Canis lupus familiaris: one gene and its partners. The protein of the gene in region 6 interacts with the protein of the main gene of each other region in a pairwise test. Links are inferred from orthologs where the notes say so. Each region holds a gene or a part of one and is shown on either strand. Other genes may lie near its edges.

Region 1 (3,637 bases), on a different chromosome or scaffold from region 6:
ACCACCCTGGACAAATCACTCAAGTCACTCACCTCTCTGGGACTGAGTTTCCTTCTCTGTAAAACTGGGACTATTATCCTTAGCTAGTAATACCTTGAAGATTTAATGAGGTAACCTGTGTGAATATGCCTAGCTCAAGACCTAACACATGGTGGCTATTATGAAAATGTAAACTGAATTACATAGTGTACATATTACCTGTCCATGTCTCATCTCCCCATTAGTCTGGATATTCAGAGGGCAGAAATTATGACATTCACCTTATTATCCCCTACAACCTAACTCAACACAGGCCATTACATATGTATGCTTTGTTTTGTGGAGAACAAATGAAACTCAGAGAAGAAAGGAGAGAGCCCAAAGCAAAATGAAGCTAGCAGGGATCTCACCTTGCGGGTCCTCTTGCCCCGAATTATAGTCCTGGACTCCAGATTCTGAGCAGGGGAACCATCTGCTGATGTCTGTGCAGCTGCACCATCAGATTCAGGGATACCTGGGTTGGTCTCTACCTCAGTCTGGGAAGTGGCCATCTTGGCTTGGTTAATATTCTGGGTCTGGGTATCAACTGTTGGGGCCTTAGTGGTGTCATTCCAAGCCTTAAAGGCTGTCTTAGGTTGAGCATTAACCATCTCAGTGGCACTGAGAGACTGAGAGAAATTGTAGGTGGCATTTGGGCCCACCTTAGTAGTGGCATTCTGGGCCTTAAAGGCCATCTCGGACTTGTTAGCAGTTAATTCACTGGTGGTTGCTGCCTGGGAAAAATCATAGGCAGCATTTGGGCCCTTTAGGGTGGCATTCTGGGACTTAAAGGCTGCCTTAGGTGGTACATTGGGCATCTCCTTGGCATTAAGAGCCTGAGAGAAATCATAGGCACCATTTGGGCCTTTTGTGGTGGCATTCTGAGCCTTAAAGGCTGTTTTGGGCCTAGTGGCAGCTGCCAAAACCTGAATATCAGCCATCTCACTGGATGTTGGGGGCTGTGAACTCTGGGCACTAGCATTCAGCCCAGCTGCTGTGGCCTGGTTGGTAGGTGGAGCCTCTGAGATCTGGATGGCCTCCATCAGGGTCTGCATAAGCAAGGTGCTGTCTTCTACGGAGGCCTCAGCCTGCAAATACAGCGGGGGGGGGGGGGGGGATGGGGGGTGGGAATGAAATTTCTGGGCCTCCGAAGTAGAAGCAGGAGGGTAGGGGGAGCAGTGCTGGGAAGGTACAGGCAGGCGGATGGTGCAAAAAGGCTGAGGCACAGATCTAGACCACCAGCAAGGGGCGATGGGAGGCAGAGTGGTAACAAAACGTGTGGTAGGGCTGGAGTGGGGCAGGGACTAAGTGAGGGGTGGGGCGGAATGAATAGTGGGGAAGAAGTAGAATGAAGGGAGCGGTGGGGGTTGATGGAGGAGGTTAGAGCAGAGCAATGCGGTGTGCGGCAGAAGCTAAGGGCGGACGCGAGGGGAGCCAGAGCAAGGGTGCCGCCTCGAGGAGTTGAGGAGAATAAGGGGGGGGGGGTCTCAGCGGTGGGGAATGCAGAAGAGAGGGTGGCGGCCGGAGGTTGGGGGAGGGGGTGGCAGACTGCTCTCTCTACAAGCGTCAGGACTGAGGAAAAAAATGGTTCCTTACCCAACCCGCATTCTCTGGATAGACTGCCCTCACTATTAACAGGGTCTCCCCTTTCTCTAAGCAGGGATTGATGGCTGAAAGGGGACGCCCCTCCCCCCCGATAAACCATGGGAATTTGAAAAGCGATGGAGTCTAGGCATGAAGAGGGCAAAATCAGATCGAGGGTTTTGGGCGGCCAAAGGGGCCCCAGGGAACTATCGGCTAGGTAAATAGTGGGGTGGGGAGTGAATATCTCACCTGGAAGCCGAGGAGGCCCGCACCACAGTCCATTTTCTGAGCCATGGCTCCAGTCCCTCTGGCAAGAGCAGAGCCTGGGTGGGGGTAGGAGGAGCTGGGCGTTATACTCCAAAGGGCAAATGCGAAGGACTGAATGGGGGGGGGGGGTGTCTGGGATTTGACTGTGGGGGCGAACGAGGCGCTGAATGTGAGGGGAACCGGTTGGATCAGAGTGGGAAAAGTGAATGGATGTCAGGATGGAGGCTCTGAATCCTGAGAAGCTACTGACCCGGGAGAAGCTTCAAATCGGGATTCGGAAAGCCAACAACAGTTCTGAATCTAGGGGGAATGGGTTGGGACGCGCATATGGTAAATTGAATGGAGGTTTCCAATCAGGAGGAATCGTATGACAGTACAGATTAAGCTCGAGAAATCTGTGGAGATTTTTAACGATGGGAGGGGTTCGGAGGATGAACAGGGGTTCTGAGTAAGGGAGGATCGGGTGAAGGGTGTGAATGGGGATTAGGGGAGTGGAAGGGGAATCAGAATCCGGGGTAAAGGGATTGAAATGAAAAATGGGTGGCCCGCACCAGGGGGCAGATGCCCTGTCTGGGGGCTAATTCTCACCTTGCCTCAGGCCCCAACCCCAACCCCCTCGTTGCCTCCCTTCTTCACGACTCAGAGGATCGGGATTGCAGTGTTCGGCTCTCCGCAGCCGCACCCTCTCCTTGTCCAGGAGAAAATGCCAGCGCGGCAGCTAGGACGACCCCGCCTCTCCGCCTAATATACCACCCACCGCCTCAGATAGTTGTGCGCATGCGCAAGAACTGACCGACCAAATAAAAGTCCCGCCCGCTTTCCCAACAAAAGCTTCGTCCTTAACGCCATGGTGCGCATGTGCAGTGGGAGGCAATCCCGCCCCTTTGCCAACACACCACCCCACTACCAACCAGGTCGACAGTACACCACGGCCCCACCCCCCTCCACAACATCCCCTCCCCCAAACAGATGCGCTGTGCCTTTAGGTCCCACCCCTTGCCCACACACTGGCCCCCTACCTTTTCCGCAATGCGTCTCAGTTCTATCCCTCCCCTCTAGCGGCCCCTCCAGTCCTGTCCTTTCGTTCGGCAAGAATCTCCACCCCCCGCTTAGCAACACTTAGGTCATTAATAAGGAGGTGTCCGTGTGGGGTCTCTAACTGCAACAAGTGCTAGGCTCCCGCTAAGCTCTCCGACTTTGGGACCCAGGAGAAGGAATGGCCAGAGAGAATACGTTGTAAGAGGTAGAAAAAGTGTGCACCTGCCACATGAATCTGTATGATCTCTCTCAACAGATCCCAGGGTCATAAACATTAGCTTCTTTCGTGCCCTTTGTGCAGCTCCAGCCATGCGCATATTTTTTGCGCAGGTGAGGAAGGGAGGGAAGGGAACAGCTTGACCACCACAGCGCAATCTGTGCTGGGACTTGTCTCTCACAGCAGCCCTGGGAGGTGGATGTCAGCATCCCCATTTTACAGGTCAGGAAGCCAAAGCACAGACACACTGCATGAACCAGACAAGGCCACAGAGCCAGTAAAGAGCAAATGCAAAATGTGGGCCTTGGAGTCTTCTTGACTCCAAAACCTATGTTCCACTAGTGCTGGCCTGGGAACTGAGGCACCCTCTCCTCTCCAGTTTGAGCGACAGTTCCCACACATACACCTCCCCTGCACTGTCAACACCTGTCCCAAACAAGCAAGGTTTGTGTTCTCCAAGACCTAAGCTCATGCTCTGCATTTAGGTGTACCCAGATAGAGATTCCTAGTCCC
Region 2 (4,095 bases), on a different chromosome or scaffold from region 6:
GAAATCCCTGTTCCAAACACCGAAAAACCTCCATCAACAGCCCCACCTCCCCAGCCAGTCAAGCCCATCTCTTCTCTGCGCGTCCGCTGGCGACCATTATTTTCATAAAACGCGGCACATGCCTGAATCCTGTTCACTCACCCACCCACCCAGGAACGCCTGGTAGGTGCGTTAAGAGAGTGTTCAGAAGCAAAGTTTAGATCTGTTTTGATTAAGTTATAGTAGCCCTGGTTAATTTCATTTTCAGTCGTTCTAAGACTTGCAGAGCAGGGCTGCTAACGATATACCAGCAGTGGTATGAAACACACCCGAATTACTCTCATTCCTACCCAAATCCCTTCCCAGAAGCCAGGGCCTGAACCAGGGAGGGCCTCTCCTACCTGCAGGTCTGGGGCTAGGCCGTGCCCGCTGGCCTCCGTGGTTCAGTTTCTGTTTGGTTCAACGGAAGGAGGGGGCCCAGCGCTGGGGCCTGCTCATCCCCTTATACAGACACAAAGTTGGCAGATTCAGCCTTAAACCTGTTGGCAAAATAAACGAAAACAAATAAAGGGGAAACTGCCAACCGCAATTGTCTGAAGTGACAGAGGCCTACTGTCCCCGTCCCTGCCCCGTCCCTGAAGCCCTTACAAAGCTCGTGAAGAGTCAGGTGCCCGGTGTTCACCAGCCGCCGCGCCCCGCATCCCCCGCAGACCTTCCAAGGCGATCGTTACTGTCCACGCACGAAGGCGTTTCTGCAAAGTAGACGCCTCCACGCAACGCCACACTCGGTGCGCTCACGGGGGAGGTGCCTTCAGTGCCTTAAAACCCAACCACACGCCGGTTTCTTCCAGAACCACTTGGTGGTTAGATCGCCCCGAACACACCGGGAGGCCAAGCGTCGTGAGAAACTTTCTTCCAGGTGCGGGAGGTCCTGCCCATGCGGGACGCGGCGCGGAGCCTGGCACCGTCCCCGGGCCCCGCGGCCCCGCGCCCAGGCGAGGGCCTCCCCCACGCGGCGTGACAGCAGCTTTGTGCGGGGTCAGGAGAGTTGCCATAAGCACAGCAAGTTCTCCGGGCCTCCCGCGGCCTCCCGCGGCCCCGCGAGCCGCGGCGCTTCCTCCCGGGGCCGCTCGTCCCCGCGCCCCCGCGCCCCCGGCCCCCGCCCCCGCGCGCCCCGGGTCCCCGGTCCCGGCAGCGCCGCCCTGCCCCCGCGCCCCCGCGCCCCCGCCCGGCCCGGCCCGGCCCGGCCCGCACAGGGGGGCCCGGAAGGCGGGCGCGGAGGTGCGCAGCCGGGAGCGGGGGGCAGGCCGCGGCGGGGCCCAGGGCGGTGCGGGGCGCCCAGGGCACGGCCCCCGCCCCCGCCCCGCCCCCGCCCCCGGGCGCGCGCCGCCCCCCGCGCGGCCCAACTTGGCGGCCCCCGCCCCGCGCCCGCCCGCCCGCCGGCACCGCCTTACCTCCTGCGCCGCCCGCCGAGCGGAGGGCAGCGGCGCGGGTCCCGGGGCGGCGGCCGCACCGCGCCCGCCCAGGCGCCGCTCTTTGTCTGCGCCGCTCCCTCCTCCCGCCGCGCGGCGGACGCTGCCGGCCCGGGCGGACCCCGCCGCCGCCGCCGCCGCCGCGAGCCTCCCGCCGCTCCCGCCTCCCGCCGCCCGCCGCCCGCTCGGCCGCGCGGCTCCGGCCTGACGATCCCGGCGGCGGCGGCGGCGACCCTCCCCCGGCGCTGCGCCCGCCCCTCCGCGCGCTTCCTCCTCCTCCTCCTCGCGCCGCTCCTCCCCGGCCGCGCGCGACCCCGCCCAGGGCCGGCCCGGGCGAGGGGGGCGGGGGGCGGGGGCCCGGCTCCCACCTGGGGCGGCGCGGGCGGGCGGCGGGCGGCGCGGGGACCCGGGGCTCGGCCGGGGCGCGCGGGGGGCGCGGGGGGCGCGGGGCGCGGGGAGGGCGGGGGTCCCGGCTGCCCGCTGCCCGCTGCCCGCTGCCGGCTGCCCGCGCGGGGACTGGGGCAGCGCTGGCGGCGAGCGGACGGCAGGGGAGAGAAAGGCAGCAACTTCCAGCCCCCAGTGACTGCCGCGCGGCCTTTCCATCCTCTTTTTGTTTGATTTTCTTATCGCGACGCTCTAGTTGTTTGGCGGCCGGCCCCCTCCCGGAAGCATTCCCACGGCACCCTCGGCAAGGCAGGCCTGGGGTCCATCAGAAAAGTGACTTACATAAAAATGTCACTTCCTCTCTGTAATTGCCTCTGGGCATTTTTATTTATTTGCCTTGTATCTATTTACTTTCCCAAACAGACACTTTTGTACTCCATCATTCCCGTCGGAAGCACTTCTTGAGAGCAGAGAGGACACGCGGCCCCGCGCCGCCCCGCCTGCGGCCCAGCCCCCCGCGCCCACCCGGCAGAACCTGGCAGGCGCTGCCAGCGGCTGGGCCCCTCCCCGCACCCCCCCCCCCCCCAGGCCTTGTCACTACTAGTGGGACTGGTCCGGTCACCTGGCCACACGCAGGGACTTACCTGTAAACAAATTCGGAAGATTAAAACCCTGGAGGAAGGGGAAACACAAGTTGTCCTCTAACAGGCACATGCATCCAGCTGCCTGTGCTCCAGTCTCCTTCCCACACGGCTTCCCAAAAGGAAACCCGACTATTCAAGTGATTCTGATTTCCTGGCGGAATAGCCTGGATCCATGTTAATGAGATTCTTTCTTAGGCTCCTGGCTTCTCATTACTATTAAGGCAATAATAACTTACCCAAGGTGACAAGGCTGAACCATTGATCCTCTGCCTTGTTCACAAAAGGAAGTATCCAGGTTGGGTAACCAGAACCAGTATACCTTTGAAGTCACAGTACAGCCTTTGACTATCTGCTTTTTCAACTGCGGAACCTTGCACAGGTGTTTCTTAACCGATCTAAAATTTAACAAATGGAGAGATCGTGTTTACCTAGCTCCCATGTCAGTCCCTGGCACCCTTCCTGCCTGTAGGGCACACTCTGTAGGTCACTAGCTGGGAGTAGGTACAGTGTACTGAGCAGGGACGGATCCAAGATCAGGGAATCTGGATAGCCTCCTTCTCTTTGCCCTTGGGGAAAGAGCTGCCTCAGTTCATCCTTTTGTCTTACTAATAAGGAAGGCAGAATTATAATAAATGGTCTGACCCAATTTTAAATTAGTTTACCCAAAATCCATATAATAACATTGACCCAGTTTTTAACTTGTCTGCTTTGTAAACCATCACTGAATCACCGTTCTTGAATTCCTCTTCCTTCTTCCTTCCTTTACAAAGGTAGAGTCCCCAAGGACATTCTCTATCTAAAATCCAATGTCGCTTTCTTAATCTTTATCCTATGCAGTCTTCAGAAGCACGTGGCATTTCTGCTATTACCTGAAATTCAGTTATTTTCATTTATCTAACACAGCTACCCTTCTGAACTTCCTACATCATTCTCTTGGAGAGCATATTGACCTCTAACAGTAATATTCCTGATGCAGAATTTGGCCCCTTGTTTTTATAATGATTTGTGCCTTTTTTGTTTTTTTTTAAGAGAGTTGATCATTTTTTTGTATGCCTCCAGTCTGGATGTTCAGTGATTAACTCTCAGATCTGTAGCCTTAGAGAATTCCCCAGATTGTCTGCAGTCTCTCTGGGCAGCTCATCATCTCTTCAATATCACCAGGTTCAGAATGAAATTTATCCTCTTCCCAAAGTAGCTCCTCCTCCCACGGTCTCAGGCTTGGCCAAGAATCCACCAGACATCTCAGCTCCTTGGAGAAACTTCACTGCAATCTCATTTCTTCCTTCCTTCCCTCTCTCCAAGATCTCCCCAAAGGCAGTGAGGAGAGAGTGCAAGATGACCTTGGGATCCCTCTCAGTCTAAATCCTCATGATTCTGAGTCCTGGTGCTGTTGAAACAGCTCTTTGTATCTTCTTTTCTCTTTCCAGTGACACCATCCAAATTTTTACATTGTTACTGATGACACTTATGAAACTTCTTTTATATGTGTGTGTGTGTGTATCTGTGTGTGTATAAAATAATTATATATAATATATATAATAGTATCATGTGTGAGTTACAGGTATACATATACAGAGTATTATCCTCATATACATATAAAAAAAATGGAAACAGTA
Region 3 (4,280 bases), on a different chromosome or scaffold from region 6:
GTATCAGAGCTATGGAGTCAAGTTTTGTATGCCAGGCTTCCTGAGGCTGGGTACTTGAGTGTCCTGGGCCCAGACCTAGTTGACCGTGGAGGGAGATCACTTAAGGCTGCCTAGAAAAGAATTCACCCAAGCTCAGTGATTCCCAGCAGTTGAATGTGGAGGAAGGACTCAAAGGAAACAGCTAGGAGAACCAATCAAAATTAATAGGAAAACCAGAAGGTTGCATCTTCTTTAAGAGGGAGAAAGGATTTCCAGGGGGAGTGGTTAAATTCTGCTGTGGGAACAAGTAAAATGGTATATAATGGCATTAGTTCCGAATGGACATTCTTAATTACTAAGAAGGTGGTCTTCAGTGAAAAGACTGAAGAGAAGTTTCTCTTGGCACCTGGATAGCTTGGTTATTTAAGTGTCCAACTCTTGATCTCAGCTCAGGTCTTGATCATGCAGGGTTGTGAGCTCAAGCCCCACGTTAGGCTTCACGCTAGGTGTGGAGCCTTAAAAGTTTTTTCTAGGGTGAGTGGAGTTGGGACCAGAGCAGGATTGTGATCCTGCTAATGATATCAGCTAACAAGAGAAGCAACTGCTTGTTTATAAATTCCTAGACTTTGTGGCATGTGGCAGTTCCTTCACGTAGTCGCTGTTCTTTGAATCAGCTGCAGATGGGGGGAATGAGAAAAGGTGAGGTTGCCACAGACAGCTCAGGGCTTTGGGCAAGTGTGTGTGTGTGTGTGTGTGTGTGTGTGTGTGTGTGTGTGGTAGAACTGTAGGCAGTATTGAGGGCCCACTTTAAGGTTGGTGATCCTGATTCTACAGTAGTCATTCTCAGCTGGGAGTAGGTTTTACCCTCAGGGAACATTTGGAAATATCTGGAAATCTGTGGGGTTGTCACACCTGGGGGGAGGGTATTGCTACTGGCAGCTTGTAGGCAGAGGCAAGGGATGTTGCCTTCCAGCCTATAGTGCACAGGCCTATTCCCTACAACAAAGAACTGTCTGGTCCACAATGTGAACCATTTGGCCTGGCTATGTGACACTGAGCTACCTGGTACAGCCAGGAAATAGATAACTTAAACTTCCTGAGCTGTTTTACTTCACACGTACAAAAGAGGAGGAAGAGCATATGAAATCTGTTATAGGGGGATGGGGCCAAAGTCATTACAAAATCATCCTTTTGCACGTTGGCAGTTTTAAAAAAAATGATTAAGTGCTGCATAGTGACTTCATCAAATACTGAAATTACTGTAATTTATTAAAATTATGAGCCAAGGGACACCTGGGTGGCTCAGTCAGTTAAACATCTGCCTTGAGCTCAGGTTGTGATCCCAGAGCCCTGGGATTGATAACCAATATCAGTCTCCTGGTCAGCGTGGAGCCTGCTGCTCCATCTGCCATTCCCCTGCTTATATTATTACAAATTTGCTCTGTCTTTTCTCTAGTAACAAGAAAATACCCTTTTACTTGAGTGTCATAATCTCACTTTCCTCCAGTTCTGAGAAGTTCTCTATTTCTAAATATTGGCTTATTTCATTCTTTTGTCTTCCCTTTAGAACTTAAAATAACTGACCATTAGAATTGATAGGCTGTGGCTTACTGACAGAGGCTTCTAGATCACTATTGTATTTTTTTTTTTTTTTTTTAGATTCCTAATTCTTTTTCAGTCTGTAATATGTACATTTTAGGGGAGACCTGGGATTGAATCTGAGTTCAAATGTATTGGGTGTATTTCTTAACATTTTATTTTTTCATCTGTAAAATCAGAAAAATAAGATTTACTGCATATTCTTGTACATAATAAATGAAAAATTATGTAAAGTTTTTGCTTTCTTTTCAGCCACAAAAAACTGCACCCAAGCTTGTTTGACGTCTGTCCTCTCAAGTGTCCATGATGCTGGGCCCCGAGGGAGGTGAAGGCTTTGTGGTCAAGCTCCGTGGCCTGCCCTGGTCCTGCTCTGTTGAGGATGTGCAGAATTTCCTTTCTGACTGCACAATTCATGATGGGGCTGCAGGCGTTCATTTCATCTACACTAGAGAAGGCAGGCAGAGTGGTGAGGCTTTTGTTGAACTTGAATCAGAAGATGATGTAAAAATGGCCCTTAAAAAAGACAGGGAAAGCATGGGACACCGGTACATTGAGGTGTTCAAGTCCCACAGAACCGAGATGGATTGGGTGTTGAAGCACAGTGGTCCAAACAGTGCCGACACCGCCAATGATGGCTTCGTGCGGCTTCGAGGACTCCCATTTGGATGCACCAAGGAAGAAATCGTTCAGTTCTTCTCAGGGTTGGAAATTGTGCCAAACGGGATCACACTGCCTGTGGACCCCGAGGGCAAGATTACAGGGGAAGCCTTTGTGCAGTTTGCCTCCCAGGAGTTAGCTGAGAAGGCCCTCGGGAAGCACAAGGAGAGAATAGGGCACAGATATATTGAAGTGTTTAAGAGCAGTCAGGAAGAAGTTAGGTCATACTCAGATCCTCCTCTGAAGTTCATGTCTGTACAGCGGCCGGGGCCCTATGACCGCCCTGGCACAGCCAGGAGGTATATTGGCATTGTCAAGCAAGCAGGCCTGGAGAGGATGAGGTCTGGTGCTTATAGTGCAGGCTATGGGGGCTATGAGGAGTACAGTGGCCTCAGCGATGGCTACGGCTTCACCACTGATCTGTTCGGGAGAGACCTCAGCTACTGTCTCTCGGGCATGTATGACCACAGATATGGAGATGGCGAGTTCACCGTCCAGAGCACCACTGGACACTGTGTCCACATGAGAGGGCTGCCGTACAAAGCTACCGAGAACGACATTTACAACTTCTTCTCTCCACTCAACCCTGTGAGAGTCCATATTGAGATTGGCCCTGATGGAAGAGTGACGGGTGAAGCTGATGTTGAGTTTGCCACTCACGAAGAAGCTGTGGCAGCTATGTCCAAAGACCGGGCCAACATGCAACACAGATACATAGAACTTTTCCTGAATTCCACAACTGGGGCCAGCAATGGGGCATATAGCAGCCAGATGATGCAAGGCATGGGAGTGTCAGCCCAGTCGACTTACAGTGGCCTCGAGAGCCAGTCTGTGAGTGGCTGTTACGGGGCTGGCTATGGAGGCCAGAACAGCATGGGTGGATATGACTAGTTTTGTAGGAGCATTTGAGTTATTGCAATCAAATTTTCACAGGCAGCCAACAAGCAGTGAAAAGCAATTATTACTCTAGAGGAAGCTGTGGGACCCATTTTGCACCATGAGTTTGTGAAATCTGGATTAAAAAATTACCTCTTCAGTGTTTTCTCATGCAAACTTTCTTCTAGCATGTGATATTGAGTAAACTAAAACTATTTTCAGCTTTTCTCAATTAACATTTTGGGTAGTGTACTTCAGAGTGATGTTATCTGAGTTAAAGTAGTTTTAAGTACATTAAATGGATCTTTTACACCACATCACCGTGAACACATTGGGGAGACGTGCTTTTTTGGAAAACTCAAGGTGCTAGATCCCTGATTCAAAGAGGAACATTTCTCCTGTTTGTTCATTCTAGTTTATTTTCATTTAAAATCTTTTTAGGTTAAGTTTAAGCTTTTAAAAAATAAGTTAGTTTTGAAAATTGAGACACATTACTAATACTGTAGGAATTGGTGAGGCCTTGACTTAAAACTTTCTTTGTACTGTGATTTCCTTTTGGGTGTATTTTGCTAAGTGAAACTTGTTAAATTTTTTTGTTAACTAAATTTTTTTCTTAAAATAAAGATTTTTTCACAATGACTGGCACCGACTATATACTCACCAAAAAGCAAAATGGGTGGTTGAAGAGAATTTGTTTTAATACTGCTGTATTTCAGTGTGAATTTCAAAACTAATTTAGCACATGGAATCTAAGATTTCCCTTATTCCTATACCAAGGCTAAATTAAAAGTTTGATTTTTAAAAATGTTAAACATGAGCGGTAGAAATGGTGACTGGAAACACGGGAGTATGAAAATAGAAGCAGCACGCAGGCCTAGCCTCCTTTGAGACTGGACTGCTCAGCTGTAATGTCCCGCTCTTCTCTTATACTGGAGTCACATTCATTTCTCATAGCTAAAGACCCTTAATTTTGGGTGCCACATACTTTGGCAGTCTTTTAATCACAACCACATTTTGTTTCAGGGTGGTTTTTTTTTTTTTTTATATGAAGTTACTGATTTGAACATTTTTTTTCCATGCTAGCTCTAATAATCCTGGGTTAGAAATCACAGGTTATTACTGAATACACATAAATCTTGGGACAGACCTGTTTCCAAATTAGAAAGTCA
Region 4 (4,298 bases), on a different chromosome or scaffold from region 6:
CTCTGTAGTGAAAGGTGACTACATAAGCTAATAAGAATAGGCTGACCTCAGCCCCATGACACCACCAGGGTCCAGAGAAAGCACCAGCTAGCTGGAGGCTTCTGCACCCCCTGCTTGCCACTGCCTTCAGTCCTGACACTTAGCTGTACTCATTCTGTTCAAAGGGAGGAATGATACCACTTCCTGAGCAATTGAGTACAGTGTCAGTGACGGTTCCCAGGAAGGAAGTCGAGGGGGATGGGGACATACACGGTTCCTGGGGCCCCATGCAATCGAAACCAAAGACCTGCCCCTCTGCTGCACAGCAGGTACAGAGCGGTACTCCTCCCCATCCATGTGCCCCCCCACATGCTCCTCACCCAGACATCAGTCCGCTCATCAATGACACAGTGGCTCTGCACGGAGAAGAGCTCTGGGGCGCGGTAGGAGATGGTGCATCGCTGGGCTGCCCAGTCCTGGAAGAGTGGCCCCATAGCTCAAAAGAGAGGCACAGGTCATAGTCATGTGACCAAACTGGGGCATGCAACAGGAAAGGCTGAGGATGGGGAACAGGAGGGCAAAGGAACCTGGACACTCTTTTACCTGCAGGGCCAGAGCCTGGCGGGAGCCTTCCACATGGATGCAAGCTTGATTCATGGAACCCAAGTCCATTAAAACTGGCTGCCCCTCATCTCCAAGCAAGATATTGGTGGGCTTCAGGTCCCTGCAGGAAAGTGGAAATAAATGGCCCATGAACATCCCTGGATAGGGAGACTAGAATCCCTGGGGGCAAAAGAATCATGGGGACTGTTCCTTGGGAGGAGAGCAGAGACCACTCAATCCTTTTGGTGAGGCTCTTTCTTTCTGCCCCATAAGCACACTGGGCCCTCCCACTGACCTGTGGGCATAACCTCTGGCATGAATGGCCTCAAGGCCTCTGCAGATACCCAGCAGCAGCTGAAGGATTTGATCTTCAGTCAAGAAGTTGCCTTTGTCCTTCAGCCTTTCTATCTCGTTCCACAGCGTACCCCTCTGCAACACAAGTTTCCCCACGGTTGGACAGGTTTTCTGGGTCTCTGCTCCCTCAGCCTGATCCCTTCCCTGTGTCACAGCCTAGCAGCTCTTTCACCACACACACTACACACCTCACAGTCCCACTTGGGTTCCCCTAAACCCCAAATCTGAAGCGGTCCAACACAGGACATGGTCTCTGCTTCCTAACGTGCTTGGCTACTCACACAGCCCTCGGTAGATGACTCTGTTGCAAGCCCCTCCATTGCCAGGAGACTTTCTGACCTTGAAGAAGGGTAGCAGCAGCCAGGCCTCATGTTTAGTGCCCCGCTCCCTCAGACAATAAGCCACAAGGCGGAGGATGTTGGGGTGATGGAAGAGGCGATGCATGTCTGCTTCTCGTTGGGCTTCCTCCCGATCCTGCTGCTCGTGACACAGGATCCGCTTCAGGGCGTAGAAGTGTCCATCATGTAACCCCTCCACTAGGTCCACATAGCTGAACCCACTGTGGGCCAAAGGGGTCAGTGAAGGACCACGGTCATCTCCCACACTGCTTGGACCCAGAGGAACTCCCTGGGTGGGGAGGGGAGGGGGTGTCTTTCCCAGTCAGCAGAAACCCTCCCAAGACGTGGCTTCAGGAGAAGTCTGAAGATTTTACACTTTGAGCTCAAGGGTAGGAACACAGCAATCTTTGAGGTACCTTGGTCATAATGCACAGCTCTGCACGTGACAAATGCTCCGGAAATGTTACATGAGTAAGTAACAGTCAACATCTGTCAAGTGCTGTGAACCGGGCCCTGGGTGAGATTATTATTATTATTTTTTCTCTTTTTGGTGAGATGATTTCTATGCACTATCTCATTTAATCCTCACAACTCCATCAGCGACAAAAGATAATTATCTCCAGGGCAGCCCGGGTGGCCCAGCGGTTTAGCGCAGCCTTCAGCCCAGGGCCTGACCCTGGAGACCCAGGATCGAGTCCCGCATCGGGCTCCCTGCATGGGGCCTGCTTCTCCCTCTGCCTGTGCATGTGCGTGTGTGTGTGTCTCTAATAAATAAAATCTTAAAAAAAAAAAAAAAAAGATGATTATCTCCATTAAGCAGATGATGAAACCACGGCTTAAGGTCACACCAGGTGGAGCCAGGAGGCCTGGCTCCAGAATCCACTTTCTTGGCATTCGGGTTGCTAGGCTCTGTCAGGGGAGCTAAAGGATGCTTTACAAGGATGAACCTCCTGAGGCCCTATCACGTGCAGACTGCTGTCCTTCACTCACCAGAACCCTGGGGGCTGGCTAGGCGATTTCAACACTCACCCCTCCCCCAGTTTCTGGATGAAGAGGTAGCGCTTGTTGTCAATGAGGACGGTTCCCCGGGAGCAGACACACAGCGCGTGGCCCATAGCGCCTCAGTCATCCTCCTCAGGGGCGGTCCGGGGCTGCCGACGGCCGCGTGCGGGCTGAGGGGGCTCTTCCAGGCGACGCGCTGGGGGCCCCGCGGATCATGCTGGAAGGCAAAGGACGGCAGGGTCGTGGGCCAGGCACGACCCCCGAAGTGCCGACGTGCAGAGCTGGCGCCCGGGCCTCGGAACGCAGAGGAAACGAGCCTTGGCGACGCCGGCTCGGGCACGGCCGAGGTCGGGTGCCCTGGAGCCTCGGGCCACGCCGCGACGCCCAGGCCGCGTCCTCGCCGTCGGGCCGCCTCGGCAGCCGCGGAGCGTGGGGGCGAGGCCCGGGCCCACCCGGCGGGGCCCGCCCCGGCCTCGGCGCGCAGAGCCCCGGGAGGGCCGGCCCCGACTCCCCACTGACCTGGCTCCGGCCGGAGACGAGCGCCGCGGACCGGAAGGAGCGTCTACGTCATCAGGCCGCGCCGGCGTAACGGCCCGCGGTATCCTAGCAACCGCAGGGCATCCGGAGGATGTGGGGGCGCGGAGCTGAGAGGCCGGGGGCGGGCTAAGGCGCGGGGGAGCACGGGTCCCGGGACCCGGTGAGGGTTCCACACCAGGCCTTCAGTAGTGGGCAGGACGCAGGCACCCGCGCCCAAGGGGAGCAAAGCCGGGCTCGGCCCGAGGCCCCCCAGGCCCCCCGTCTCCCAATGCCGGAGGTAGGAAGCTGCAGTCCAGCCCCGAGGGGCGGGGGCCGGGCGGGGGCCGGCGGCCTGGACCCCCACAGCGCCGATCGGTGCACCCTTCGGGGCTCAGGCCTGCATCCCACTACCCTAGTTTCAGTGGTTAAGAGCTTACTAGCTGCGTGACCTTGGACGACTTAACCTCTCAGAGCCTCGGTTTCCCCAGTTGTAAACAAGCTCTAACAGTACCTAAGGTTAGGTGCCCGTACGGGGAGGCCAGGCTGCAGCTCCCAGCTCTGCTAAACTAGCTGCGTGACCTTGAGCAGACTATTTAAAATTTCTGCCTCTCAATTCCCTCATGGGTAAAATGGGAGTGATAATTACCAACTGCACGGAGCTTTTTGAAGATGAAGTGAGATGTAAAGTGCTTAGCACACTATCTGACACAGCCTTGGTGTCAATAAATAGAAGTTGCTGTTATTTTTATTATGATTCTATTTTTCTTATCCTGGTCCTTACATCCCAGGCTTGGGATTGTGAAGGCAGGAGTCATGGAAATTCATAAATTCCCAAGCCTTGGCCCCAGGTAGTTGTTCTTGACAGCTCTCGCTGAGGCAGGGCAGGGATAAATTGAAGAGCGGTGGACATCCAAAGAAGACAGAATGGCTGAGGTGGTCTCTTTTGCTGTAGCAGGGCCACTAGGAGAAAAAAAAAAAAATCCCATTTATAACTTGGTTCCTACTTTCACACCACTGGGAAGATTGATTCCGAACCTGTTTTAGCCCCCTGGTTCCGACATTCATTCATCTAGATTTAACCTGCTATGTACCGAGTCCCGTGCTAGAAGCTGAGGATGCAAGATGGACAAGGTACTCTTCACCCTCAGGGAGCTCAGTTTAGTACCACAGTGCTTCTCAATCTTGAATGCCTTTCGGATCGCCTGGGAATCTTGTTAAAATCCAAATTCTGATTCTAATAGGTCTGAGGTAGGACCTGAGACTCTGCATTTCTAACAAGCTCCCAGGTGATGCTGATGAAGCGGATTCAAGATGTAGAGGATCTTACAAACTAGTAGAGTAGCGCGGGTGGACAAGTCCAGGCTAATTGCCTGGTGACTTGAGGTGGTCTCCGCCCCCTTGCTCGCTGAGGTTCCCTCCCAGGAATCCACCACGTGACAGCCGGACCGCCCTCTCTGAATAGAGGAGCCCTGTTAGCGCCATGGCTCCCAGGAAGCGGCTCTGCCT
Region 5 (3,637 bases), on a different chromosome or scaffold from region 6:
ATCCTGATCCCTTCAGAAGGGCAGGGCCTGTGTAGCTTCAGGGGCAGCCACCCAGGGTACAGCCCCTCAGGTGGACATGATGCCGCTTTTCTCGCCCTTGACCTTGAGGAACTCGGCCATGCTGGAGAAATACTTCTGGTTGGCTTCAGCCACCTTCTTCTCAGCTGCTTGTGGGTTCACAATCTCTAGGCCCTGGGCAGGTGAATGAGGTAATGATGGGGTGGGGAGATGGGCTGGCCCCTGACAAGGCCCCCTTACCCAGTAAGAGAATTGTGACATGTCGGGGAGGCCCTTTTCAATGGTTCCGGGCTCCAGGTGATAGAACAGTTTTCCAATTACCAAATTGCCCCCACCCCAAACCTGGGGAGATTCTAACTGTGGCTCTGGGAAGAGGGAAGAGTGGGGAGGACCTGGGCATCTGAATTTTTATCAAGTTCTCTAAGCAATTTTAAAAGCATCAATGTTGGGCAGCCCAGGTGGCTCAGCAGTTTAGCGCCGCCTTCAGCCCAGGGCCTGATGATCCTGGAGACCCGGGATGGGGTCCCACATCAGGCCTCCTGCATGGAGCCTGCTTCTCCCTCTGCCTGTGTCTCTGTCTCTCTCTCTCTGTATGTCTCTCATGAATAAATAAATAAATAAAAATCTTAAAAAAAAAAAATCAATGTTTCAGAACAGCTGACCGGGTTTGGTTCCTGAATAAGGAAACTGAGTCACAGAGCTAAGTGGCTCACCTCTGGCCCTCGTGCAAATTACACCAAGCCTACTGGTGACACGGCGTCCAGCTGTGGGGGCTCCACACTGGCTGGCACCATTCCCAGTATCTTCCACAGGTAATTCTGACCTTCTTGCTGAGGCCTCCCTGGGCGGGTCCAACCCGATGCCTCACTCCCTCTCCCCTTTCTTCCCTGCACTTTCCACTTTCCACCAGGCTCCATATCTTATCTGACCCCTGCCACCCCACAAGCTCCCTGAGGGCAAGGCTTGCTGTCTTGTGCTTGTGGCTCTATCCCCAGTGCCTGCAACAGCACCTGAAACTTAGGTGCTCAGTACACCCTTGCTGATGTTGCCAATGAACTCAGTTATTCTACTCGATGCTATGGGGCGTGCTGGCGCTATCTGTGGGTAGGCTGAGAAATGGACAGATGCAGAGGCTCTGTCCTGTGCATGAGTGGCTGGGCTGGGACCTCTGCTTCCCAGCCAGCTACCTTTGAGTTTTCTTCCGTGGAGCCCTGAGGTTGTCCCAGCCACTTAGCACCTCAGGGAGGAGCTGAGCCCACTTGAGGTCATGGGGAATCAGTAGTCACCCCTAGTCCCAGCCCGATCCTAAAGCCAGCCTGCACTTGCAGGCAGACCTTTTCCCTTCTGCTCCCACTAGCCTGAGCACCAGGAACTGAGCTGTACCTTTCAGGGGCTTCACTGATACACAAGGCTGTCCACAACAGCCCTGCGAGAGGAAGGGGCTTGCCCAGGTCCACTCAGAAAGCTGGGAGTAGAGCCTGCCCAGAACTGGGCCTCCTGACTCAGGTGCACAGTACCTGCAAAGGGGTGAAAGCCACACTGGAAGCAGTCCCCGAGGAGCGGTCACGGATGGTGGACTTCCCGCCATACACGACACTCTGCTTCTGCAGGGTCCGCTGTGTGGAGGGGAGGGGACAGGATGTTTGGGCTTGGCTTGGGCTCTCCTGCTGGAGCTCCCAGACTCCCAGGCCCACTCAGGCCCCGCCTGTACCTGCAGTGTCTTAGAGATCCTGGCTTTGGTGGCCTCGTTCACCTGTGTCTGCCGTACCCGCCCGCTGCCTGATTTGCCCAGATGGCCCAGGCTGAAGCCCAGGTCCTCTTGGTAGGCGTCTTCCTCGATCTGGTGGGAGGGGAAGGTAACCAAGAGTTAGCCATCTTTCATCAGCCGGATGCCCCAGGCACTGACCCGATTCAGGTGCCTGCTGGGGCCCAGTGAGGAGTCCAGTCCTATTACGGCTCCCTGAGCTGACAGTTGAGGGAAGCTGTGAGTGTTCATGTATGCAGTGTCAACAACCAAAACTGGGCTTGCTGACTAGAGGGTGTTTGAGCTGGTTCTTGCAGGACCATGAGGATGATGCTTGGGTAATGAGTCTGGCAGAGGTGAAGCCTGAGGAAGGACCCTCCCTGGGCAGATCCAACCCGACAGGGAGGTGTGTACAAAAGGGTGGGGGTCGGGGGACAGGGCCAACACTGAATGCTGCATAGGTCCCTTCAGGGTACATGGATGTGGGGGGAGGCTGGAGGTGAGGTGCTGCCTCAGCCGAGAAGAAATGTGGTGGGGACATCCAGACTAAGGCTTTGACCTCTCCGAAGCTCATGCGGTTGGCCTGCTTCCGGATCTCGGTCAGCCCTAGCCGCTCCTTCATCTTGCGGTACCTGGGGAGGGGCGCCAGGGGTCAGCTGGGGTCACAAGCCCCTTCCCCTCCTCTTCACCCCCACTGGCCCTCAGGGCCTACCTGCGGCCACCTCGCTTCTTGCGCTGCCCGTCCAGGGGTGCAGGCAGGGGCTTCACCTGCTTCACGGGCGGCGGCTCCTGCCATTTGTCAAACTTGCGCTCGATTTCATCCTTCAGCTCATATCCCACCTGGGGAGGGCAGGGGGTCCCATTGAGCCTTGCCCATCCCTCTACCTGTGTGTGGCACCTGTTCCCAGGCCTGGGGGGCCTGTGTTTCTTGGGAGACTCAGACTTCTCCCAGCACCCCTCATATAATTCTGTCCTTGATGGGGGAGAAGGAGGGCAGCCCCCGAGTGCAACAGGGCCAAACCGCACACCTGCACCTCTTCCCCAGCCTCCAGCTCCGGCCTGCACAAGTTGGTAAAGGGAGGTCACTTGGGAGCCTCACCTCTGGCTTCTCTCCCTCTGGGCTTTTCCTTCAGTTAAGACCCCAAATCGCACCCCTCAGCATCTCTGCTACAGCCAAGGTCTCTCTGGGGCACACAGGCTCTGCGTGACCTGTCCCATCCCACAGCCTCCTCTCCCTGGCTTCCTGTGGGCCAGGCTCAGGGCCATTGCACTGGCTGCTTCTCCTTCCTAGGACTCTTCCCCCAGGCACTCACTTGACTTGCTTCACTTCACCAACTTGCTTCACTTGCACCAACTTCACTTGGGTGCAGATTAGACCTTCACCTTTGCAGCAAAGCCCTCCCCAACGTCCGGGTTAAACTCAACCTCCCTCACCAGCCCAGCACCCTTTGATCCCACCCTAGCATTTATGTGGCATCCCTGGACACACCACAGATGGCCCGTGTCCTCACCCCGCCCCCAGCCAGAACATGAATGCCACAGGGGCATGGCTTTGGTCGGAGTGCTCACTGCTGTCCCCACTGGAACCTCAACCAGTGGTCAAGAGGAAAAGTGGGGGGCAGTGAGAGAAAGAGACTGAAGCCTGGACACTGTGCCAGACTGCACAAGACAAGATATACCCACTTTCATGGAGCAAGTCTGCCAAGAGAGATAGAGGTAAACTCAGTGATGACCTGAACAATGACAAGTCTGGTAGAGGAGACAGACCCACACAGATGCCTGCTGTGCCTCACCTTCCCTTCTGTGCTCTCGTGGAAGCTGTCCACACGGGCTGCCAGTGTGCACTTGGCAGCCACCAGCCGAGCCGCTTTCCGC
Region 6 (3,637 bases):
TCCCATGCTCATCCTGCAGTATGACAAGTCTTGGGCCATATGAGGCTCAAGAAACCCAGCTCCTGACAGGTAGATGTGAATGATTTCCTTTTTTTTTTTTTTTGTTTTAATTTTTTTAATTTTTTTATTTATTTATGATAGGCACACAGTGAGAGAGAGAGAGGCAGAGACATAGGCAGAGGGAGAAGCAGGCTCCATGCACCGGGAGCCCGACGTGGGATTTGATCCCGGGTCTCCAGGATCAGGCCCTGGGCCAAAGGCAGGCACTAAACCACTGCGCCACCCAGGGATCCCTCCTTTTTTTTATTTTATTTTTTTGATGTGAATGATTTCCATGAGAATTGGGAATTCTCCAAATTCATCTCTGTAAAATAGCCCAATAGCATGGAATATCTTCTACATTAAATGAATACACCAGTTAAACATATTTTTCTAGGGGCGCCTAGGTGGCTCATTTGGTTAAGTATCTGCCTTAGGCTCAGGTCATGATCCCAGGGTCCTAGGATCGAGCCCCATGTTGGGCTCCCTTCTCAGCAGGGCATCTGCTTCTCCCTCCATCCCTGCTCTCACTCATGTACTCTCTCTCTCTCTCTAATAAATAAATAAAATCTTTTTTTAAAAAAAGATATTTTCTGATTTCATATGTTAAAAGTGGGAATATATCTAAAAATCAAAGAAATACAGTATTTACAGAGTACCTAGTATGTCCCAGGTCCTGAGCTAGACACCATCTCTAATCCTCAAGGTGAAGTACATTTTGCATACATAGGGCTGGAGACCCAGAGAGAGGAATCCTCTCAACATGGGTGACAGAGCAAATGAGTAGCAGAGTGGAGGGTGAGCCCGGGTCACAGTCTCCCAGGTCAGTTCTTTCTGTGCTGTCTCCACACACTGCCTTGGCAGGAGGAAGGCCCTGGAAATTTGGGACATGTGGGAGGGAAAGTGTTCCCTGGAGTGCACCCCTCTAGTAGGCAGCTGGGCATGAGCCTGAGTGAGGAGCTGCAGGTGCCTTAGTCCGCGGCCTGAGCTCCCCAGGGCAGCTCCCCCACCGACTCCCTCTCCCCAGTGCTGATTGGTGGAAGGGAGAACTCACTCTTTCAGTGCTCAAGTACTTAGTAAGTACCTACTGTGTGCTAGGCACTGGACCAGAGATGAACAGAAGCACTACTTTCCCTTCAACGTGCACTCCAGACCCCTACTGTGGTTTGGAGTAAAGAACAATGTGGTGTAGGATTGCCTGGGCTCCTATCGGGGGTCTGCCTCTTGCTAAGTATATATCCGTAGGAAGCTGCTTAACCCCCTAGGTCTGTGCTTCTCGTTGGCAAACTAGAGAGACATTGAGCATGCATTTGGTCAGTCAAATGCAACAATGGGCGTCAAGCCCCTAGCAAAGTACCTGACACATAGTGGGTGCTCACTTTGGGTTAGTTCTGTTCCTTTCTTCCCTCCCCACTTCCCATCAGGCCCTGCACCAGTCTTCTTTCCAAGCACCTCCTCAACCATGGCCTCGGGGTCTTTACCTTCCATAAGCCCCTTCCCTAAGCCTGGATGAGGTACCTGGGACAGGCAGGGACAGGAAGGCCCAGAGAGATCAGTGAGTGACTCACCTGGAAGACTCAGCACTTTAGCTGTGATTCTGCGATCATCACCCAGGCTCTCTGGCCACTTCAAAACACAGGCTTTGTTATCACACCTTCACGAAGAGAGCAGTCAGGCAGTGGTCCTTGTGAGGGTGATGAAATATTCAAATAGAAAAGGAAAGATTTATTATATTGATCTTGGAAGGGCTCGCGGGGACCATGAGCTTTAATTATCAGCTTGGAGCCCCGGTGGAGCAATGCCAAGTGATTGTCTGCAGAGGGCTGGATTTATGGCAGGGCCTGCCCCTTAGTCACTCTCCTTCTTGTGTGTCTTCTTCCCTCACCCTGTCCCCAGGCCGCCCAGTCCGGAAAAGCTGAGGAAGCCACTGCCAAGACCCACCTGTATGCGACCGTCGTTCGGAAGGGCAGCTTCTTCCCCCGCTACATCGGCAGCAACCACACAGCTCTGGAGGTTCCAAGACTGGGGTCCCGGGGGGGGGGGGAGAAGGGGAGGGGGGAAGGGGCAAGCTTTGAGCAGCCTCCAAGCCCTCCCCTTCGCCACCCCTGATTGGCCTGACTTTGTGAGGCAGAGAGGGGTATCTGGGAAAGAAACCAAGAAGGGAAAAAGCAATAGGGCTTTACAAGAATAGCCAAAATAGGGACGCCCGGGTGGCTCAGCGGTTGAGCACCTGCCTTCGGCCCAGGGTGTGACCCTGGAGTCCCAGGATCGAGTCCCAGGATCGAGTCCCAGGATCGAGTCCCGCATCGGGCTCCCTGCATGGAGCCTGCTTCTCCCTCTCCTGTGTCTCTGTGTCTCTCATGAATAAGTAAATAAGATCTTTATAAAAGGAATAACCAAAATATTTTGTGAAGAACAAGCCCTGGGATGACAGGGATAGGGATAGAGATGAAAATGAAGCCTAACCTTTCCCAGCATTTCCGGACACAGTCCTGCCCTAACGTTGCCATCTCTTGTTCTGCTTCACACACACTGTGAAGGGAGATGGAGAAGGGAGGATGGAGAAGGGGGAGCTCCCAAAGGCTTCTGTCTGCCTGAATCTCATGTGGGGGGGGAAGCCTCCACTTTGGCCCATATTCTCTTCCTGTTTTCTCTCTTGATCTAGGGCTTACCACCCTATAGCCACCTTGTATGCTAGTGTAGGTCAGCCCTGCAGGTTCCCTCTGTTCCAGTCTCCCTCCCTTTTACATTATGTCCTTTCCTGAGACCTGACAGCAACCCTCTCTCTCTCTCTCTCTCTCTCTCTCTCTCTCTCACACACACACACACACACACACACACACACACACACACACACACGAAACAAGGAAGAGTGGCCACAGCTCGACCTTGCTGTTCCCAGGCCACACCCCACAGTGAAAAGGCCATTTGCTTAAGACCCAGCAGAACCCTGGCCTGCAGGAGTCTCCACGGAGGATCCACCCCACTCCCACCCCAGCCCCCAGAATTACTGGTATAGAGTCTCTAACGCTCCACCTACCCCTTGGCCCCAGCACAGCTGTCCCCCCTTCTGGTTCTGATGGCAGACTGGAGAGCACAGTGGGAAGAGAAATTGCTTCTGTTACTTATTGGCTGTCATGAGCAAGTGGGCTTGGGCAGCTATCTCATTCACACCTGACCATTCAGCGCTGAACAGGTGTAAATTAGCCACGACCACCCACCTCTCAGAGACCTACTCTCAGCCCCTACACCTGTTGGAGTCCCTGTGAGCTCTAGGGCCTGACAGCCCTGCAGTGGACTCCCTCAGCCCAGACTCCTGGCCCCACTCAAAGTTTGAAACACCCACATCAGATCCAGTCCTTTGAATCTGGGTCAGGGATTCAGTCTCCAGGGACCCCAGTGAACCCTGAAAGGCCCTAAGCACTTAAAAAAAAAAAAGATTTTATTTATTCATAAAAGACACACAGAGAGAGGCAGAGACACAGGCAGAGGGAGAAGCAGGCTCCCTGTGGGGAAGCCCGATGTGGGATTCGATTCCAGGACCCCGGGATCACGCCCTGAGCCGAAGGAAGACGCTCAACCACTGAGCCACCCAGGT
Region 7 (4,076 bases), on a different chromosome or scaffold from region 6:
TGTAGGTAGTGGCAGCCATACCAGGCAGCTCCATACCAGGGTTCTGCAACTTATGGCCCTAGTGAGCTAAATGCTGCTGATTTCATAGTTTTCTTGGCACCTACACACCAGGTATGGGCAGGTATGTGACAACACCCATTTTACAGAGGGGAAAACTGAGTCTCAAGATGACACAAGCTCCCCCTGGAGCTTACAGGGCATAGCCACCATCTGAACCCAGGGCTGCCAGCCCCCAAGGCTGGGTCCTCCTCTCGTAACCTGGCTCACCCTCAAATGCCAAATAGAAAGAAAAAGGAGAGGCAGCTGTGCAGTCCAGGCTCACGTCACGTACAGGCAGTTCGGTGGCAGCCAATGCTGACAGCTGAGTTAGCTGGGGTGCAGGGCCTGGTGTGATTTCTACGAGGCTGGCTCCAGCTCCCAATGAGGGGACAACCTCTCCCCACATTCCCCCCACTCCAACCTGCTTCCAACTCTGCTCACCATTAATCAGCTCCAGGGCCTCCTCCTTGGTCCTGGTGATCTTCTCCTGTCGCCAGGATGAGGGCCGCCGGGACTGGCTGTGCTTGACAAGCAGGTGCGAGCAGCGGACCCTGGTGGGCTCCCCTTGTCCATTTTTGCTGCCACTGCTGCTGTTGCCACTCGGCCGCTCCCACTGGCTGGCATTAGTAATGTGATTGAAGTAGTATACCCGGCCTGGAGGAGGGGGGATACAGGAATTCAGCTGGGACCTGCTCAAAGGACACCACCCGGAGGCCAAGATGACGGACCGGCCAATGGGATTCCTTCATTCAACAAATCCCCTGAGTCCACCTCGAGCTACAGGCCCCGAGGGAGCCAGCATTCTAGATGGGGATGGGCAGGCCCCAGACAAGCAAATAAGACAATGTCATAACTTCAGTTATTAGTGACTTCAAGGAGGAAAACCACCCAGAGTGACAGGAGAGACGAAGCCGGTGTGGGGACAGGCAGCCAGGCTGCCTGTTCAAGTCTGGCTGTCACTCACTGTGTGAGCTAACCTCTCTGGGCCTTGATTTTGTCACCTGTAAAATGCAGATAACAACAGTCCCTGCCTGTAGGGTTGTGCTAAGGACTGAGTGAGCTCACAGCGGTAACACACTTAGACTAGTGCCCAGTACACATTAGGAGCGTGACAGCTATCATCTCCCTGTAGACGACAGAAGTGAGGCCTCACCTTCCACACCTTTGGAATGTTTCCTGAGTGTACACTTGGCCCCAGGCACACATGGCTGGAGGCAGGAATTAAACCCAGGTTGCCAAACATGAAAGCTCTGTTCTTAACCCGCACCCAGTGTACAGCGCTGCACAACTATGGACCAGCAGTACAGGGGGGTCAAACGTTACCCAGGGCCCAAGGAGCAGGAAGGAGGGAAGGCCACAAGAGAGAAGATTGAGGTAGAACCCAGGAGAGCCCAGGCATCATTCCAGGGGCTGAGATTTTTGCACGACTGGCACCCAGCACCGTGAAGAACTGAAGGTCACCCCTGAGGAAGACCATTAGGGTGGAGCCGAGCAGAAATGGCCAGAGAGGGGGCCCAGAACAGGGCAGAGCATCAGGATTCATGCTGTCAGCTGTGGCCACGGAGCAGGGCTGGAGCGGGCTCAGTGAGAGCTGAGCCAGTGACCGACCCTAAAACCTTGCAATGGCCTCTCTCTCCATGAACCTTGGTTTTCTCATCTGAAAAGTGGGGGTGAAGCGAGAGATTAAGGACATAACTTCACGGGGCTAATGTGGAGAACAGTGATGATCCGTGCAAAGTGCTCACCAGAGGGCCTGGCCTTCAATGAGCAGATATCACTGTGACTGTGATTTTTATGGGCTGGGGAGGCAGTGCGGTGAGATGCTGGGCCTGCTCCTCACTGGTCTGCAGTGACAAGGGCAGGCGGGCTCTGCTGTCAGACTGACCGGACTCTAATCCAGCCCCCACCCCCTGAAATGAATGACCTTGGGGGAGCTCCTTAAGTTTTCTGACTTCTGCTTCCTCACCTGCAAAACGGGGTGATAACTATCCACCTCCCAGAGTTGTGGTCATTCAGAGAGAGAGAGGGAGAACACACTCCAAACACACTTGGCACAGGGCTGGGCGGTAAGATGAGCGTGCGGTTACGGGTATTATTACTGTGGATAAGCCTCAGATCGGGCTCCCGGCACAGGGTCCATCCACCGGGCGGCGACGACAGACTCGGGTTAGGCGGGGATGGCCGGCGGGTTAGCAGGGGCAGGTTGTGGGCCCGAGGCCCGGCAACGCTCTGAGGCCACGCCCTGAGCGTGGGGTTGGGGTGTCCTTCCCCGGGGTGCCCCCCGGGCCCAGCAGGGTGCAGACACGGTCCCCGGGGACGTCGGGTGCAATAGGCCAAAAGGTGTCAGCCGGATCGGCAGGGCCAGGGCCATCACCTGGGGGAGTGCTGCGGGATCCCCGGCCCCCCGCCCCCGCCCCCCCCACCCCCGGCAGCGCGCTGGGTCTCTCCGGCCCCGCCCCTTGCCTCAGTTTCCTCCGGCATCCCCGCTCCTGAGGTTCGCAGCCCCCACGGGGCGGGCCCGGGCCGTTACCCTGGGAAGACGCGGAGGAGCCAAGACCCCACGGGAATCGGGCGGCGGCGCCGCGCCCCAGGGGCGAGCTCGAGCCCTGCTTCCGCGGGCCCGCGCGGCCCCGCCCCAGCCCCGACCCCCGCGGCACCTGAGCTGCGGCTCATGCGCTTCTCCCAGCCGGGCGGCAGCTTCTCCTCGTCCGCCATCTTCCCTCCTGCCGCAGCGCCCGCTCCGCCTCCGCCGCACCGCCTATGCCGCCCGCACCCGCCCACCGCCGCCGCCGATTGGCTCGGCCCGCCTCGCCCCGGGGCCCGGCGACGATGCTCATTGGGCGCCCGAGCAGTCCGGAGAGGCCTTCGGGCTTTCTATTGGGTAGCGGCGAGACTGGGCGGACCCTCCGTGCGTTCTACCGGGTCCCGCCCCCGTACGGCCTCCCCCGGATCCCGCCCCCTTCCTCCCTCGGCCGCTGACTGGTAGGGAAGGGGCTGGAGCCCGTCCTTCTCCACAGCCTCCGGCGAGCTTCACAGAAGTCCGGGCACCTCCTTTGCGTCCTTCGCCGCAGGCCCCATCCGATTGGCTACTGCGGCAGTAGTTCCCGCCTTCCTCAGCCGTTCCCGGAGGCCCGCGCCCCCTTATGCGGAAGTGTCCGGGTGGTTTCGAGGTGACGGCAGCCCACGAGGTACTTGAAAGAGGCGGTGCTGCCTTAGCTGTTGCCGTAGCAACGCAGTTGCCTTGGTGATGAGCAGCGAAGAAGCCTAAATTTGGCTCCTCCATCCTCCTTCTCCCCACCTGTTTCCTCCAGATGTCCAAAGCTGTCCCCCCACTTTTTTTTTTTCTTTTGCGAGACTAACCCTTTCCCTGTGCCACTGACCAAACATCTTCTACTTCCTTTGGAACCTACTTAACTTATTCTCTCGGTCTGGCTCCTGCCTCTGTCCTGGGTGACTGGTGGGTGTTGGCATGGCCACTTAGCTGGCGACACAGGAGGATGCGTCTGTAGGAGGATGATGAGCTCAGTTTGAATCGTCTTAAAATTGAGTCTGCGGCACCTGTGGGACTCTGGGGAGGTGCCTGGGGACAGGCTGGAGATAGATACGAGAGGCAAAGACACCAACAAGGAAGAGTTCAATGATAGTTCATCTAGAACTAGACCCCTATGTGACCATTGAAAAAGAATGAGGCGGGGATCCCTGGGTGGCTCAGTGGCGTAGCACCTGCCTTCAGCTCAGGGCGTGATCCTGGAGTCCCGGAATCGAGTACCACATCGGGCTCCATGCATGGAGCCTGCTTCTCCCTCTTCCTGTCTCTGCCTCTCTCTGTGTGTGTCTCTCGTGAATAAATAAAATCTTAAAAAAAAAAAAATGAGGCACAGTCATATAAAACATGGGAAAACATGTCTACAAGAAATAGGATATAGTAGGTTAAGAGCATTCAAGAGCCAGATCGCTTGTGTTCAAAGCCTGGCTATGACTTTGAAGAAACTAATCTCTGTGTTTCAGCTTTTCAGCTTCTCCATCTGCAAATGAGA

The links.
Region 1: the proteins of CCDC33 (region 6) and MAGED1 interact in a two-hybrid assay, tested with the Homo sapiens proteins (2 studies listed by BioGRID and IntAct). The two-hybrid records come from large-scale screens. The link is inferred for Canis lupus familiaris from reciprocal best matches to the Homo sapiens genes CCDC33 and MAGED1.
Region 2: the proteins of CCDC33 (region 6) and NCK2 interact in a two-hybrid assay, tested with the Homo sapiens proteins (2 studies listed by BioGRID). The two-hybrid records come from large-scale screens. The link is inferred for Canis lupus familiaris from reciprocal best matches to the Homo sapiens genes CCDC33 and NCK2.
Region 3: the proteins of CCDC33 (region 6) and HNRNPF interact in a two-hybrid assay, tested with the Homo sapiens proteins (3 studies listed by BioGRID). The two-hybrid records come from large-scale screens. The link is inferred for Canis lupus familiaris from reciprocal best matches to the Homo sapiens genes CCDC33 and HNRNPF.
Region 4: the proteins of CCDC33 (region 6) and STK16 interact in a two-hybrid assay, tested with the Homo sapiens proteins (2 studies listed by BioGRID and IntAct). The two-hybrid records come from large-scale screens. The link is inferred for Canis lupus familiaris from reciprocal best matches to the Homo sapiens genes CCDC33 and STK16.
Region 5: the proteins of CCDC33 (region 6) and PRPF31 interact in binary tests that used the Homo sapiens proteins (3 or more experiments, as listed by UniProt). The two-hybrid records come from large-scale screens. The link is inferred for Canis lupus familiaris from reciprocal best matches to the Homo sapiens genes CCDC33 and PRPF31.
Region 7: the proteins of CCDC33 (region 6) and PIN1 interact in a two-hybrid assay, tested with the Homo sapiens proteins (2 studies listed by BioGRID). The two-hybrid records come from large-scale screens. The link is inferred for Canis lupus familiaris from reciprocal best matches to the Homo sapiens genes CCDC33 and PIN1.

What each region holds. Positions count from the first base shown.
Region 1 is NC_049260.1:44,806,299-44,809,935, reverse strand, and holds part of MAGED1 (melanoma-associated antigen D1), read right to left. Parts: intron 2,742-3,637; exon of another isoform or gene 2,458-2,741; intron 1,926-2,457; coding exon 1,852-1,925; intron 1,107-1,851; coding exon 390-1,106; intron 1-389. UniProt on the Homo sapiens protein: Involved in the apoptotic response after nerve growth factor (NGF) binding in neuronal cells. Inhibits cell cycle progression, and facilitates NGFR-mediated apoptosis. May act as a regulator of the function of DLX family members.
Region 2 is NC_049231.1:38,784,204-38,788,298, forward strand, and holds the start of NCK2 (cytoplasmic protein NCK2), read right to left. Parts: upstream 2,826-4,095; 5' UTR 2,716-2,825; intron 2,595-2,715; exon of another isoform or gene 2,480-2,594; intron 1,501-2,479; exon of another isoform or gene 1,434-1,500; intron 1,012-1,433; exon of another isoform or gene 628-1,011; intron 519-627; 5' UTR 381-518; intron 1-380. UniProt on the Homo sapiens protein: Adapter protein which associates with tyrosine-phosphorylated growth factor receptors or their cellular substrates. Maintains low levels of EIF2S1 phosphorylation by promoting its dephosphorylation by PP1.
Region 3 is NC_049249.1:3,821,578-3,825,857, forward strand, and holds the end of HNRNPF (heterogeneous nuclear ribonucleoprotein F), read left to right. Parts: intron 1-1,830; 5' UTR 1,831-1,881; coding exon 1,882-3,126; 3' UTR 3,127-3,750; downstream 3,751-4,280.
Region 4 is NC_049258.1:25,668,199-25,672,496, reverse strand, and holds the start of STK16 (serine/threonine-protein kinase 16), read right to left. Parts: upstream 2,891-4,298; 5' UTR 2,796-2,890; intron 2,494-2,795; 5' UTR 2,390-2,493; coding exon 2,304-2,389; intron 1,715-2,303; exon of another isoform or gene 1,700-1,714; coding exon of another isoform or gene 1,691-1,699; intron 1,496-1,690; coding exon 1,276-1,495; intron 1,012-1,275; coding exon 878-1,011; intron 704-877; coding exon 583-703; intron 456-582; coding exon 360-455; intron 1-359. Other genes in the region: GLB1L (beta-galactosidase-1-like protein), read left to right, coding at 4,273-4,298. UniProt on the Homo sapiens protein: Membrane-associated protein kinase that phosphorylates on serine and threonine residues. In vitro substrates include DRG1, ENO1 and EIF4EBP1. Also autophosphorylates. May be involved in secretory vesicle trafficking or intracellular signaling.
Region 5 is NC_049222.1:103,832,153-103,835,789, forward strand, and holds part of PRPF31 (U4/U6 small nuclear ribonucleoprotein Prp31), read right to left. Parts: coding exon 3,556-3,637; intron 2,603-3,555; coding exon 2,475-2,602; intron 2,395-2,474; coding exon 2,322-2,394; intron 1,859-2,321; coding exon 1,730-1,858; intron 1,635-1,729; coding exon 1,536-1,634; intron 193-1,535; coding exon 67-192; 3' UTR 1-66. UniProt on the Homo sapiens protein: Involved in pre-mRNA splicing as component of the spliceosome. Required for the assembly of the U4/U5/U6 tri-snRNP complex, one of the building blocks of the spliceosome.
Region 6 is NC_049251.1:37,848,443-37,852,079, forward strand, and holds part of CCDC33 (coiled-coil domain-containing protein 33), read left to right. Parts: intron 1-1,935; coding exon 1,936-2,052; intron 2,053-3,637.
Region 7 is NC_049241.1:51,560,270-51,564,345, forward strand, and holds the start of PIN1 (peptidyl-prolyl cis-trans isomerase NIMA-interacting 1), read right to left. Parts: upstream 2,903-4,076; 5' UTR 2,755-2,902; coding exon 2,697-2,754; intron 694-2,696; coding exon 481-693; intron 1-480. UniProt on the Homo sapiens protein: Peptidyl-prolyl cis/trans isomerase (PPIase) that binds to and isomerizes specific phosphorylated Ser/Thr-Pro (pSer/Thr-Pro) motifs.